3 linked regions of the Canis lupus familiaris genome follow. The protein of the gene in region 2 purifies or fractionates together with the protein of the main gene of each other region. This does not show direct contact. Links are inferred from orthologs where the notes say so. Each region holds a gene or a part of one and is shown on either strand. Other genes may lie near its edges.

The links. Proteins that work in one complex are often made in the same cells at the same time.
Region 1: the proteins of CUL1 (region 2) and FBXO21 purify together in Homo sapiens (affinity purification with mass spectrometry; 6 studies listed by BioGRID and IntAct, with this or other methods). This does not show direct contact. The link is inferred for Canis lupus familiaris from reciprocal best matches to the Homo sapiens genes CUL1 and FBXO21.
Region 3: the proteins of CUL1 (region 2) and FBXL6 purify together in Homo sapiens (affinity purification with mass spectrometry; 4 studies listed by BioGRID, with this or other methods). This does not show direct contact. The link is inferred for Canis lupus familiaris from reciprocal best matches to the Homo sapiens genes CUL1 and FBXL6.

The regions. Positions count from the first base shown.
Region 1 is NC_049247.1:14,101,323-14,105,794, reverse strand, and holds the start of FBXO21 (F-box only protein 21), read left to right. Parts: upstream 1-1,448; 5' UTR 1,449-1,470; coding exon 1,471-1,709; intron 1,710-2,218; exon of another isoform or gene 2,219-2,377; intron 2,378-2,489; coding exon 2,490-2,625; intron 2,626-4,472. UniProt on the Homo sapiens protein: Substrate-recognition component of the SCF (SKP1-CUL1-F-box protein)-type E3 ubiquitin ligase complex.
Region 2 is NC_049237.1:1,740,262-1,744,957, reverse strand, and holds the start of CUL1 (cullin-1), read left to right. Parts: upstream 1-1,502; 5' UTR 1,503-1,769; intron 1,770-1,897; exon of another isoform or gene 1,898-2,022; intron 2,023-2,040; exon of another isoform or gene 2,041-2,280; intron 2,281-3,308; exon of another isoform or gene 3,309-3,373; intron 3,374-4,696. UniProt on the Homo sapiens protein: Core component of multiple cullin-RING-based SCF (SKP1-CUL1-F-box protein) E3 ubiquitin-protein ligase complexes, which mediate the ubiquitination of proteins involved in cell cycle progression, signal transduction and transcription.
Region 3 is NC_049234.1:38,533,318-38,537,937, reverse strand, and holds FBXL6 (F-box/LRR-repeat protein 6), read left to right. Parts: upstream 1-1,596; coding exon 1,597-1,991; intron 1,992-2,207; coding exon 2,208-2,366; intron 2,367-2,524; coding exon 2,525-2,588; intron 2,589-2,888; coding exon 2,889-3,020; intron 3,021-3,094; coding exon 3,095-3,202; intron 3,203-3,287; coding exon 3,288-3,401; intron 3,402-3,469; coding exon 3,470-3,701; intron 3,702-3,786; coding exon 3,787-4,033; intron 4,034-4,301; coding exon 4,302-4,452; 3' UTR 4,453-4,554; downstream 4,555-4,620. Other genes in the region: SLC52A2 (solute carrier family 52, riboflavin transporter, member 2), read right to left, coding at 1-546, 635-764.

The DNA of each region.
Region 1 (4,472 bases), on a different chromosome or scaffold from region 2:
AGAGGCAGAGACACAGGCAGAGGGAGAAGCAGGCTCCATGCACTGGGAGCCCGACGTGGGACTCAATCCCGGATCTCCAGGATCGCGCCCTGGGCCAAAGGCAGGCACTAAACCGCTGCGCCACCCAGGGATCCCTAGATCACGGGATTCTGAGCAAGCTTATCTGTCTGAAACTCAGTTTCCCCCACCTGTAATTTGGGGAGATAAGAGCTGAGAGGGATATTGGGAAGGACCGCTGAGCTCATGCACAGGAAGTGCTGAGGACGCACAAGAAAGATGGATTCTGTTAAGATCGCGGGTTCGGGGGGATCCCTGGGTGGCTCAGCATCCCTGGGTGGCTCAGCGGTTTGGCGCCTGCCTTTGGCCCAGGGCGCATCCTGGGGTCCCGGGCTCGAATCCTGCGTCGGGCTCCTGGCATGGAGCCTGCTTCTGCCTCTGCCTGTGTCTCTCTGCCTCTCTCTCTCTAGGTCTATCATGAATAAATAAATAAAATCTTAAAAAAAAGAAAAGAAAAGAAAAGAAAAAGATCGCAGGTTCGCAGCTCCCAGAGCCACACCACAGTTTGCAATGGCTCTGCTGGGGATTTACCCCAAAGATACAGATGCACTGAAATGCCGGGACACCCGCACCCGATGTTTATTTTTTATTTTTTTTGAAGATTTTATTTATTCATTCATGAGAGAACAGACAGAGAGAGAGGCAGAGACACAGGCAGAGGGAGAAGCAGGCCCCATGCAGGGAGCCTGACGTCCTCCGGGATCAGGCCCCGGGCTGCAGGCAGGCACTTTACCTGCTGAGCCACCCGGGGGTCCCTGCACCCGATGTTTCTAGCAGCAATGGCCACAATAGCCAAACTGTGGAAGGAGCCTCGGTGTCCATCGAAGGATGATGGATAAAGAAGCTGTGGTCTATGTATACAGTGGGATATTCCTCAGCCTTGAGAAACGACAAAGACCCACATTTGCTTGGACGTGGCTGGAGCTGGAGGGTATGATGCTGAGTGAAGTAAGTCAGTCGGAGAAGGACAAACATTATATGGTCTCGTTCATTTGGGGAATATAAAACATAGTGAAATGGAATAAAGGGGAAAGGAGAAAAAATGAGTGGGAAATATCAGAAAGGGAGACAGAACATGAGGGACTCCTAACTCTGGGAAACGAACTAGGGGTGGTGGGAGGGGAGGCGGGCGGGGGTGGGGGTGACCGGGTGGCGGGCACTGGGGGGGGCAGTTGACGGGATGAGCGCTGGCTGTTGTGCTATATGTTGGCAAATCGAACGCCAATTAAAAAAAAACAGAAAGAACGCGCTTCCCTCCGCCAGCCGCCAGCCGCCGGCCGCGGCCCGGGCCCAGGGGGCGTGGCCACGGGGAGGGGGCGGGGCTACCCCCGAGCCCGCCCCTCGAGGCGGGTGGGCGGGGCGAGGCGGGGCGCCCTGGCGCGCGCGCGCGGCGGGCCCAGGTACGCGGACAAGATGGCGGCGGCAGCGGTCGACAGCGCGATGGAGGTGGTGCCGGCGCTGGCGGAGGAGGCCGCGCCCGAGGCGGCGGGCCTCAGCTGTCTGGTCAACCTGCCCGGCGAGGTGCTGGAGTACATCCTGTGCAGCGGCTCGCTGACGGCCGCCGACATCGGCCGCGTGTCCAGCACCTGCCGGCGGCTGCGCGAGCTGTGCCAGAGTAGCGGGAAGGTGTGGAAGGAGCAGTTCCGGGTGAGGTGAGCCCGCCGCCCGCGCCCCCGCGCCCGCGCCCGCGCCCCCGCCCCCGCCCCCCCGGGCCCGGCCGCGGCCCGCCCGCGCCCCCGCCTCGCCGCCCGCGCCGACCCCCTCGGCGGGCCGCAGACAAAGGCCTCCAGGCCGCCGGCCCCGGGCCCGGGGCTCCCCGCCGGCCCCCGCCGCCCCCCGCCGCCGCCCGGATTGCGCGGCCCGGGCCCGCCGTGCACCCACCGCGACGCCGCGGGGACCGCCGCCCCGCCGCCCTGAGCGCTCCTTTGTGCCCGGCTCCGGGCCAGCGCGCCGACACGGATCCCGCGCCGCCGGGTCCTCGCCCGCAGCCGGGGAGGCGGACGCAGCATCCCGGCCGCGGGCCCGCAGCACGGACCTCGGGGTGGGACCCGGGTAAATCCGGCTCCCGCACACTTGCCGGATGACCTTGGGGGGGGGGGGGCACTTCCCTTTCTTTGGAGCCTCGTTCATCGACTTTACGCGGGGATCGCCAGACCCGTGTTTCACTGCGGTCATTACACGGATGATGCGTGAGGAGCGTTGACACAGGGCCCGGCTCTCGGGAGGCGCGATCGGTCGTCACTGTTATTGTGGCTGCAGCTGCCCCCATTTCCTAGACGGGCAGTGGAGACTCCGCATTCCTCGGCCTGCTTCCCCCAAGGTCATGCCGCGAGCCGCGTGCTGGGTCCCCCGCCGGGGCCCCTGCTGCCCCTGCTTCTCGAGGCCGCCTTCAGTGTCTCCGTGAAGCTGAGAGGGTGTTTCTCTCCTTGTAGGTGGCCTTCCCTTATGAAACACTACAGCCCCACCGACTACGTCAATTGGCTGGAGGAGTATAAAGTTCGGCAAAAAGCTGGGTTAGAAGCCCGGAAGATTGTAGCCTCATTCTCAAAGAGGTTCTTTTCAGAGCACGTAAGGATCTGTTGATGTAGCCCCCGCCCCGCCCGCCCCCCTCTTTTGCCTGGTAGCCGTGTGTGTGTGTGTGTGTGTGTGTGTGTGTGTGTGTGTGTGTGTGTGTCCGGGCCCGTAGGCATTAGCTCATCCAGCTCCTTCTGATAGCCCTTTTTCAGTTCTCTCCCAATCCCTGACTCACTTAGATGGCCGCAAGAGTCATTGTGTCCTCCTCTCCAGCAACACGAAGCCATTTGTCCCTGCCAGCTTTACTTTTTCTAAAGCCAGAGAGAGAGAGAATGGGGGTGGAGAGGGAGGGAGGGACCCACAGCACAATGTAGAGGGGATCCGGATCAGCATTATGTCTCTTCTCAGGAGGTTAAACATCTTTTTTACAGCCTCCGCTTCAGCTAAGGGATCACCAGGGATGGAACACTACAGATTTCACCCAGTTGTTTTCCCAGAAGGGTTGACGAAACTCATTCGGTTTTTTTTCTTCTCTCTGGCTTTGCAGGTTCTAAACCAGTAGTGAATAGCATTATTTCTTAAGATAACAGAACTAGAAGCTATCTGTTGTAAATAAGAATTCTTACTCCCTCTGTTAAATTATCTAGTATTCTTTAACCCTGATAAGTTTTTGTGGTTCTTAAAAATATTGCTGAAACGCCCGGGTTTTTGTTGTTGCTTTTGTTTTCCCCACAAAGTATCTCAGGAGTTTCTGTATTAGGCCATGAGTCTTAACTTTTTGTAATTCTGGGAAGTAGTTCACACTAATATTTTAAATTTATTTCTGATTGAGGGTCTAGAAGTAGAGCCGGTCTGATTTATTTATTTATTGGGTTTGAGGTTTGTTTTGTTTTGAGTAAACTGTATGCCCAGTGTGGGGCTTGGACTCAGGACCCTGAGATCAAGAGTCACATGCTCTACTGAGTGAGCCAGCCAGGCGCCCCTGATTTATTTTACTATCCTTTTTTTTTTTTTTTTTTTTTTTTACTATCCTGGTTTACTGAAGATTACTTCCTCTTTTCTTTCTCTATTTTTTAGGATTTTATTTTTTAAGTAATCTCTGCACTCAATATGGGGCTTGAACTTAACAACCCTGAGATCAAGAATTGCATGTTGTCCTGACTGAACTAGCAGGGCACCCAGATTAATTTCCTGTTTTCTAATTTTAATTAATGTTATTTCATGGATTCACACATGAGAAACATTTTCAAGGCTTTTCAAGTTTTGAAAGGAAAATCTGAACTTTGGACAAATTTGAACTTATTCTCCTGTAGAAAATAAAGCTAGATATCCTCCAGTGTAATTCATTTCTTTTTTTTTTGATTTTATTTCTTTATTAGAGAGCAGGAGCTAGAGTCAGAGCAAGTGGAGGGTGTCGGGAGGGGATGGCAAGCCAGCTGGGCACTGAGCGCAGAGCCAGAAGCAGAACTTGATCTCAGGACCTGCGCCGAAATCAAGAGTTGGACACTTAACTGCTTGGGCCCCCCAGGAGCCCCCAGTGTAATTTCTATAAATAAGCGTTGGTTGATATTAGGATGGACAGAATTTATGTTCTATTCTAGGTAAGCCATGCCCTGGCCAAAAGCATTCATATCAGATTTTAAACCTGTACAGATGTGTTTGCACACACATGTATTTGGATGCTAGATGTATTTGATGCCCTTGTTCATGGGCTACTAGTTTGCAACCTCTACTTCTAGTCCAGCTGGTTTTGTGTGCATTTTTAACAGCCTGTGTGTTTGTCTAATAATGATGAATGGTTGTCTTTTTTCCTTAGCTCCCTCTTTCCCTGTACTACTGCCTAATTAGAAATATGTCAAGGACTTTGAACATAGCAGGAATATACTTAAGATTGATCTGTG
Region 2 (4,696 bases):
AAACCAGGGTCTGCCTAAATCTAAAACTTCATCATATCATAAGGTTATATTGTAAAAAGTTATATTTTATTTCATTGGTTTGGGCCTAATATTCTAGTCTGAGACTATTTTGAGTTTTGATTCTGACATCTACCCAGGTCATTCATCCCTCCAAACTTCGTGTCATCTGAAAGGAGGACATCAATTTTGCCAAGATGGGGGTAGAGAAGATGGGGAAAGGATTTTTTGGAGTGAAAAGAGAGTAGATGGCCTTGATCTGTTAGGTCTAAGGCAAGGTCACACGCCCAGAGTAGGAGGGGTGTAGATGCAGCCTGGTTGTGAAGGGGCAATAAAAGCCAATGGAATAGTCTAACTGCTAAGAATGATAGTGCGGATGGGTAGAGAGTAAAGGACAGAAGGAAGTCAACAACCTGGACCAAGGCAGGGAGAAGCGGAGAGGGTGGTATGGGTGGATGAAATACTTCTCTCCAAGAAAAGCAGAGAATGGGATACACAGTAAAGGGAGAGGTGGCCCACTCAGCTGGTACATTAGTTGTGTGAGGTGCCAGGCAAGGAGGCCGTATGGAATGAGAATATTGAAGAACACAGGTTATGGGGGATGAGATGGGTTATTGTCTGAGGAAAGCTCAGGTTCCAGTAAAAAGGGAAAAGGGAAGAAATGAAAGCTGTAAACGGGAAGCCATATATGTGTCGTGGAAAGCACTGTCCACGGGGACAAGCCTTGCATTTTTACTTCCAGTCTTACCATGTGCCCACGAAACATGGCTAAATGGATGTAAGTGTTCTTTTGACTAGGTTATTTATAAGGATAGTAGATAAACCAAGAATTTTGACACCCTTGCACAGGCCGAGGTTACACACTTTGGGGAAGTGCAGTACTTCCAAAGGCACCTCGGTGTTCCCAGAGACCACATCTCGATAGAAGGAACCACATGGCACCGGCGGGATGGTTCTTCTAAGGAAAACCCCTATTACTGAGGATAAACTGTGGGCTCTGGGGGCAGCTTTGTGCTGTAGGCCTAGGGCTTGCACCCCAAGGTACTCGTAGCAGAATCCCTGTTCTGTTTTAGTTTGAAGCAAAACAGGAAGTTACATCCACCACATCTTTTGCCCAGATAGGCCAATTGGGAATCCTTCCTCGCGTGTTCGCGGGGTGGGCCGGCTCCCTGGTCCGTGGCGGGGGTCGTCGCAGGCGAGCGTGCTTGCCCCGTCCTCTGTCCCCCTCGGAAGGCGCCCGGCGGCTGGCTGTGCTGCCGAAATTAGTGTTTTAGAGTCGTTCCGAGGCCCCGAGGCCCCGAGCGCCCGTTGATGTCACCTGGCTGCCGTTCGCGGCTCCAGGGGACACGTGAAGACGTTTTCTCTGAGGTCGCCGCCGACCACGCACACCTGGGGAGCCTCCCGCGCGTCCTGATGGGTGTCTCCTCGTCGCGGGCCCAAACGGAGTTGGCTGAAGCGTTCAGCGCAGGGCAGCGTCCTCGCCGCGTTTCTCTCGGGGGGAGGCTCCCTCGGGAGCGGGGCGCGCCCCGCTGGGCCCAGGCTTTCAGGTACGGGCTGCAGGGCCGCAGGTGTCCCGGGGCTCGGAGCCCCCGCCCCCGGAGGCAGGAGGCGCAAGGCCCCCCTCGAGGGTGTTTCGGGGCCGCTCCTCCAGACGCGGGTGCCCTCCCCGCCCCCCGTGACCTAGAAAGGTGACCCCTCCTCGTGAGGTCCGAAGTGGCGGGAAGCCGGGTCTCGGGAGGCGCCCGGAGAGGATCGGGGCCGCGGGCGTCCAGGTAGGGAGCCGGCCGGTCGCGGGGGCGCGGGGGCGCGGGGGCGCGGGGGGCGCGGGGGGGCGCCCCCGGGGGCAGGGCAGGGCAGGGCAGGGCAGGGCAGGGCCGCGCCGCGGGGAGGCTTCCGGGCCCCTCCCGCGCCGCGGGCTTGTGAGGAGATGGCGGCGGCGGTTTCCCGGCTCCCCCGCCCCGGACGCCGATGGCGGCGCGTTCCGGCCCTCCCCCCGCAGCCTCTCCCCCGCGGGAGCCGGAGCCGGTGAGGCCGGGAGGGCGGGGAGCGGCGGAGGGGAGGCGAGAGGGCGGAGGTTGCGCGGCGCGGGCGGCGGCGGCGGCGGCGGCGGCGGCGGGCAGGGGGAGGCGGGGGAGGCGGGCGCCGTGTCGCGCGCAGCTCCAGGCGGGGCGGCCCCGCGCTGAGGGACGCGGCCAGACGTCGGCGGGACGGGGAGGCGACCGGGGCCGGCCCGGCGGCCAGGCGGAGGCGTCGCCGAGCCCTCTAGGCCGCAGGGAGATGCGGGTGAGTGGCGGCCGGGCGGCCTGGCGGCGCGGGGCCGGGGCCGGGGCCGGGGCCGGGGCCGGGGCCGGGGCCGGGGCGGGTGGGGCGGGCGGCGGCGGCGGCGGCGGCGCAGGCCCGGGCCGGAGCCGCGGTGTCGCAGTGACGGGGCCGCGGCGGCCGAGCACAGGCGCCCGGCGAGGCCTGAGGCGCCGCGGGCCGGCATGGCGGCCGGGCCGGCGGACTCGTGGGCGGAGGACGCCGGGGCGCGAGGGGAGCGAGCGGGGCCCGGGCCTGAGTCACCCCGGCCGGCTGCGGCCTGCGCGGGCCGCGGGCTCGGTGCGGCCAGGCCTGGACTACGCACTGGGGCGCGGGGTGGGGATTTAAAAAAAAAAAAAAAAAGCCCGATTCATCGCGTCTGAGCGTCAGAGGCGCCGGCCTTGCGGCGCCGGCCTCTCCCCCGGCGGCGACCGGGCCCGGCCTGTCGTGCGGCGGCCCCTCGGGGCGCCCGGGCTCGCCCCCATCCCCCCCCCCCGGGCCGCTAGTCCCCCGCGCGGCGCTTCCCCCTCCGACTCGCGCTCAAGAAAGTGCAGGGCTCGCGCGCCGGGGAGCCGGGCAGCCGGGCAGCCGGGGAGCCGGGCTCTGCTCTCGGGGTCCCCCCCGCATTGTTGCGACGGGGCAGGTCGCGATTATTGGGCAACAGTCGCCGCTCGGCCCGGGGAGGCGCGCGGGTGCGGGCGCGGCGGCCGGCGGGACGGAGCCCCCGGTGACCCTCGGCGCCCCCCGGTGCCCCCCCCCCCCCGGCGCCCGCGAGTCGGGCCGGGCCTCGGCGCGCCCCCGGCCCTGCGCCCGGCGGGAGCGCGCGCTGACCCCGCAGGTAACCCGGCGCGGGCGGGGTCGCCCCCCCCCACCTGTGCCGCGCCGGGGTCGGTGGCCCACATGGTTAAAGGGAGAGGGAGGCGCTTGAGGAACATTCCTGGAGACTTGAGCCCCAAAGTTGAGGGTTTTCTCTCTCTCTCTCTCTCTCTCTCTCTCTCTTTTGCCAAAAACAGGATTCTCTGTTCCGATTGGATCACGAGGCGGTTGCTCTTTAGTTCGTAGTTTGGGGTTAGCGGTGGTAAGTGTGCAAATACGGAATTGCAGTCGGCGTCCTCAAGTCCTGTATTTGCTGCTGCGTGTAATTGCCCCTTCCCTGGAGTGTGGCGTTTGAGACAAAGTGAAGAGTGGAGTAAGTGGCCACGCTGTTGTTGGAAACGCTCTTAGCGGAGTGACAGAAGGGCGACTAAATTCGCTGTTACCTCGAGCCCTGAGTGTGTGGGACCTAACCCTTTCCCAAAACGCCCCGCCGCAGCGTGTGCAGTTCTAAGTTTAACACCTCCTCCCCCTTGTCTACCTGATTCTCTGAAACGCTGGAGAGCTTATGGCTTTGTGTAGCGAGAGCGGAAATGTTGAAAAGCAAAACCAGCCGTTTTGTGGAAAAAGGAATTTTGGGTTTTCTTTGTTTAAAAAAGGGTGCTTGGATATTAGGATTTTTTTTTTTTTTTTTTTAAGTGGAAGTGCTATTTGTTGCTTTCCCCGTTAAGTCAAATAGCACCGCATTTCCAGTTCCCAAGCGCGCAAGCTTTAAACCCCACCGTGCCCATTTTTGGAGGTTTCGGGAGACTGCGCATCAAGTCTGAGAGAATTACTCTCTGAAAATATTAGACGTTTTTTTCCTCGTCGGCACCGTCTTTTAAAAACGATTTTGCCGAAAAGAAAAAGGAGACACTGTAGACAGGCTTAGGCTTTTAATTTTGAATACCCTCCCTCTCTCAGCCACATGCTCAGGTCCTTGCAGCCGTGTCTCTCAGTCCTAATGTCTGGGAGGCCACATCAAGAGGCCAGAGGGACACAGGAATGGCTGTACTGGTTCTGCAGTCTGCTTCCATGTCACAGCCCCTAAGACTCCTTTGCCTCTTGCTGAATATTGTCTGCTAGAGGTGATTAACTTAGTGTTGTCATTGCAGCCTTTATGCATTTCAGGCTATGAATTCCTTGAAGGTAGGGGATATGCCTTCCTTTTGCCTCCCCAAAGTAGCATGGAACTTGGTATCCCAGTTGTCTTTTGAATGAGTAAATCTGGAATGATTCTGATACCCAGTGTTTGACCACTTCTGATGTGGGCTGCAGAAAACCCTGCTTATGCTGGTAAGAATGAAAGTTTTATTATCATTGGGGTCATCGTTGGATCCAATATAGTGCCCCAACAGAAAAATACTCAGGTTTTCTTCAGCAGTGGGAATCTAGGAAAGTGTTAACAAGTGGTGAAACTTCAATTAGCTTTTTTCCTTGGGAACTAGTTTTAAGGTGCAGCTAGCTAGTTATTTATCTATCTATCTATCTATCTATCTATCTATCTATCTATCTATCTATCTATCTAATCTGTCCAGCAGAGGATTGA
Region 3 (4,620 bases), on a different chromosome or scaffold from region 2:
TGGATGCAGATGGCGGTGATGGCAACAACAGCAGCAGACCCTGGAAGGCGGCAGCCGAAGTGACCAGAAGAGCGGTCAGCACCCAGAAAAAGGTGCTGGCGGGAAAACGCTCTGGGAAGTCGTTGGGGAGCCAGAGGGTGCCATTGGAAGAAGCTGGCAGACATTCGAGGTGGCCTACGCCTTGCAGTAGGGCCAGCACACAGGGCAGCAGGGCGCTGAGGCCCTGACCCAGGAAGAAGGAGCGCAGGAAGGGAGGTGGCAGGTGGCTCAGGAAGGGCAGGAAGGTGACATTAGAGGCACAGCAGGCCAGGGCCAGCACGGAGGCCAGCGTCAGGAAGGCCACGGAGTGGAGCTGCCCCGCTATGGGGGCCACGTGGTGCCACAGTGGGGCCAGCAGGGCTGTGCCCACAACGCTCAGCGCCTGTACCACCTGGATGGGGACCCGCTCGCTCTTGCCCGGAGCCAGCCGCCTCCACAGAGTCACCAACAACAGACCCAGGTTCCCCAGCGCCACCAGCACAGACAGATAGGACGGCAGACTCCAACCTGCGGGGAGGGGAGAGCAGCGGTGAGAGGCGGCAGCTCAGGGCAGCCAACCCCCGCCCCCTGCGCGCCCCCTGCACGCCCCGCTCACCCTCGGGAAGGTCTTTCACCACCACGGGCAGCTCCACCCAGATCCCGTTGATGGCAGCCCAAGAGCCCATGCCAAAGAGGGCCACCAGCAGGTGTGTCGACAAGAGGCGGCCCAGCCGGGGTGCTGCCATCCGGCCCGCGCTGGGCCCCGCAGCACAGCCCAGGGTCACGGCCTGCTCCTCCGTCCCCGCCTCGGCCCGAGCGCACGCTCCGGCTCTGCCGCGACCCCAAGGCCTCCGACACCTCGAAGAAAACAGACGCGGACGCGGGGCCACACGTCAGACAGACCTGCACGGCGACGAGCAGGGCCAGCGGGCCTCGACGGTGCCGGGGCGGCGCACCCGGAACGCGCTAGCGGCAGGAGGCGCAGCACGCGGGGCCCCGGCAGCACGCGGGGAGGGGGCCCCACGCCCCGCCTGCGCTGCTCGGGCCACCACCGCCCGCCCCCGGGGCGGACCCGGACCCGGGACGGGGATCCCCAGCGCCGCGCACACCTCGGCTGCCGCTCCGCCCCGGCGAGAGTTCCAGGCTTCTGCGAGCCCCGGGCCGGCGGGAGCGAAGGCGGGTCCGCGGGGAGGGGGCGTGTCCACGGACGGGGGCGTGTCCTCGGGAGGGGGCGGGCCCCGCACCGCCCCTCGCGGCGTCCGGTGGGCGGCGCAGAGCTGCCGGGCGCCCCCCGCCCCGACAGCCAGGCGTCTCGCCACGCTCCACCGGCGGCGCCTCGGGCCCGGAGCCGGGGGCGGGGGCCGGGAACCACTGCCCCGCCGGACCGAGCGCCCACCCCACAGCCAGACCGCAGGAAGCCGCAGGCCGCGCAGCCCGCCTCGGCCTCCCGCGAGGCCGCAGCCGGAAGTCCCGCCTCGGAAGTCGGGCGCGGGGCGTGTCGGCCCAGGCCCCGCCCTTCCGCCGCGGGACCCGCCCCTTCCGCCGCCCCGGGGCGGCAGGGGGCTTCTGCTGGGAGCTATGGCTGCCGGGGCGGCGCGACGGGCCCGGCGCCGGGTTCGGGGCGCGCAGCCGGCCGGGGAGCGGGCTCGCTCGGCCGAGGACTGGTGGTGGGACCAGCTGGCGCCGAGCGGCTCCGGGTACCACCTGCTGCAGTCGGACAGCATGCTGCTGGTGCTGCCGGGCCCGGGGCCTGCCCGTCCCCGCGTGCACCGGCGCGCCGCCCGCCGCGCTCAGCGGCAGCCGGCCCCCGCGCCCCGCGCCCCGGGCGCCAAGGCCAGACCTAGAATGGCGCCCGCCCCGGAGCCGCCGCCGGGGCCCGACCCGGGCTGGGGCGACCGCATCCCCCTGGAAATTCTCCTGCAGATCTTCGGGCTGCTGGTGGCGGCCGATGGGCCCGTGCCCTTCCTCGGCAGGTACCTCAGGCCCGGGGGGCGCAGCGGCACGGTCCAGCTGACCTCTTGCCCAGCGGGCGGGTGGCCGCGGCGGGGGCACCGCGGGGGACAGAGCGCAGCCTTTCGGGGGTCCACAGAGAGCCCAGGGCCGGCCCTGCAGCCGAGCTGTCTGCAGCCTGGTGAGGACGACGGGGACCGCGGTCTCGTCGCAGCCCCTCAGCCCAGGTCTCCTCCCAGGGCTGCTCGCGTGTGCCGCCGCTGGCACCAGGCGGCCTCCCAGCCTGCGCTCTGGCACACCGTGACCCTGTCACCGTCGCCGGCTGGCCGCCTCGCCAAGAGTGAAGCCAAGGCCGAGAAGAAGCTTCTCGCCTCCCTGGAGTGGCTTATGCCCAATCGGTGAGACCTTCTCTCTTTTCTTTCTTCCCTGGCTTCCTGTCGGCGGCTGGTAGAAAGCCAGCGGCTGTGTGTGTCTCCCTAGCGGAAGGGGTGGGTGGGGACGCCGCTGTCGGGCAGCGTGGGAACACCGTGCAGCTCTGCCTCTGCTGTCGGCCCAGGTTCTCGCAGCTCCAGAGGCTGACCCTCATCCACTGGAAGTCCCAGGTACACCCCGTGTTGAAGGTGAGAGCTCCAGGCTGCCCTGCCCACCAGCCATGACATTTTGGGATTGCCCAGTACTTCCAGGAAGTGGTCAGGCACCTGGAGCCCAGTGTTGCCCCACGGGGATGCCTGCCTGGGCCTCCTTTCCTGTTGTTTCTTTCAGCAGGGAGGTGTCAGAACTGGGAGCACCATGTTGGCCTGCCATGGGCAGAAAGGAGGTCATAGCTGAGGCAGTAGTGAGGGTTTGGTGTTGGCCACTGGTTTTTTCCTTTGTGGACACATGACCTCTCCCAATCTCTGGTGGTATTCTGTCTTCCACAGCTGGTTAGCGAGTCCTGTCCTCGGCTCACCTTCCTCAAGCTTTCCGATTGCCATGGTGTAACCTCTGACACTCTGATTATGCTAGCCAAAGCCTGCCCTCAGCTCCACAGCCTGGACATACAGCACTCCATGGTGAGCCCTGTGTCCCCAGGGGCCCTGAAGAAGCCTGGGCCAAAGGGACGGGTACCCATGTGCTGGGTTCCCAGGTGGAGTCCACAGCCGTGGTGAGCTTCTTGGAGGAGGCAGGGCCCCGAATGCGCAAGTTGTGGCTGACCTACAGCTCCCAGACAACAGCCATCCTGGGTGCGCTTCTGGTAGGTTGGTGATGGGCGGCAGCAGAGCGGGATGCTGAGCCCGGCACAGCCAGGCCGCTGAATCTGTTCTCCTCCATCTCTGCAGGGCAGCTGTTGCCCCCAGCTCCAGGTCCTGGAGGTGAGCACCGGCATCAACCGCAGCAGCACTCCTCTCCAGCTGCCTGTTGAGGGGCTGCAGAAGGGCTGCCCCCAGCTGCAGGTACCTGACACCCCGCCTCTCCCACCTGCCACCCTCCCTTCCCGTCTGCAGCCTGGGCCTCGCTCCAGGTGCTGCGGCTCCTAAACCTGATGTGGCTGCCCAAGCCTTCCGGGCGAGTGGTGACTCCTGGCCCAGGCTTCCCCAGCCTTGAGGAGCTCTGCCTCGCCGGTTCCACCTGCAACTTTGTAAGCAACGAGGCCCTGGGCCGCCTGCTCCACGGCTCCCCTAACCTGCGCCTGCTGGATCTTCGTGGCTGTGCCCGCATCACACCTGCCGGCCTGCACGATCTGCCGTGTCAGGGTCAGCTTTCTCTGGATGGTGGCTGGGCGGGAGGGATGTGGGCACCCTTGCCGCCCCAAGACTCATGACCACTCTTCCCTTGCAGAGCTAGAACAGCTTCACTTGGGTCTTTATGGCACGTCAGATCGCTTGACTCTAGCCAAAGAGGGCAGCCACCTGTTGACTCAGAAGTGGTGCCACACTCTGCGGGAACTGGACTTGAGTGGCCAGGGCTTCAGTGAGAAAGACCTGGAGCAGGCCTTGGCTGCCTTCTCAGCCACCCGTGGGGGCTCACACCCAGCCCTATGCTCTGTCAACCTCAGGGGCACTCGGGTCACACCAAGCACAGTCAGGTCAGCATCCCCATTCCCGGTCTCTTGGAGTCAGTACGGCTTGCAAGTTTCAGTTTACAAAAGGGGAGCACGTGTTGGCCAAGCTCCTGTTTAGGATGGACATTAGGGACACCAAGGGTACTGGGCTTGGGCCTCGGTGGCTGTGGGTGGCAGAGCCAGGTGTGGCGCCTGGGCAGAGAGGGCTTCTTACCTTGGCCAAGCCCCAGCGGGGCCTGGGTCTTTTGGGAACCAGCGGCTCGACTCCCCATGGTGTGCCCTGCCCCCACAGCTCTGTCATCAGCAGCTGCCCAGGCCTGCTCTATCTCAACCTGGAGTCCTGCCGCTGCCTTCCTCGGGGCCTGAAGCGGGCCTACCGAGGCCAGGAGGAAGTCCAGTGGTGCCTGGAGCAGCTGCTCACCAGCCTCCCCTCCTCCAGCTAGGCAGCTCCAGACCCCCAGCCCTCAGGTAGTCAGCGGTGCCTGCCACCCTTTCCACATTTTGGATGTTTAAGCATTTTTTAAACAATAAAACATTTTTAGGAACTCTGTGTGGTCCTTAAGGTGGGGATGAGAGGCCAGGTGTTGTGCCGGCAGGAACCATTCAAGGCT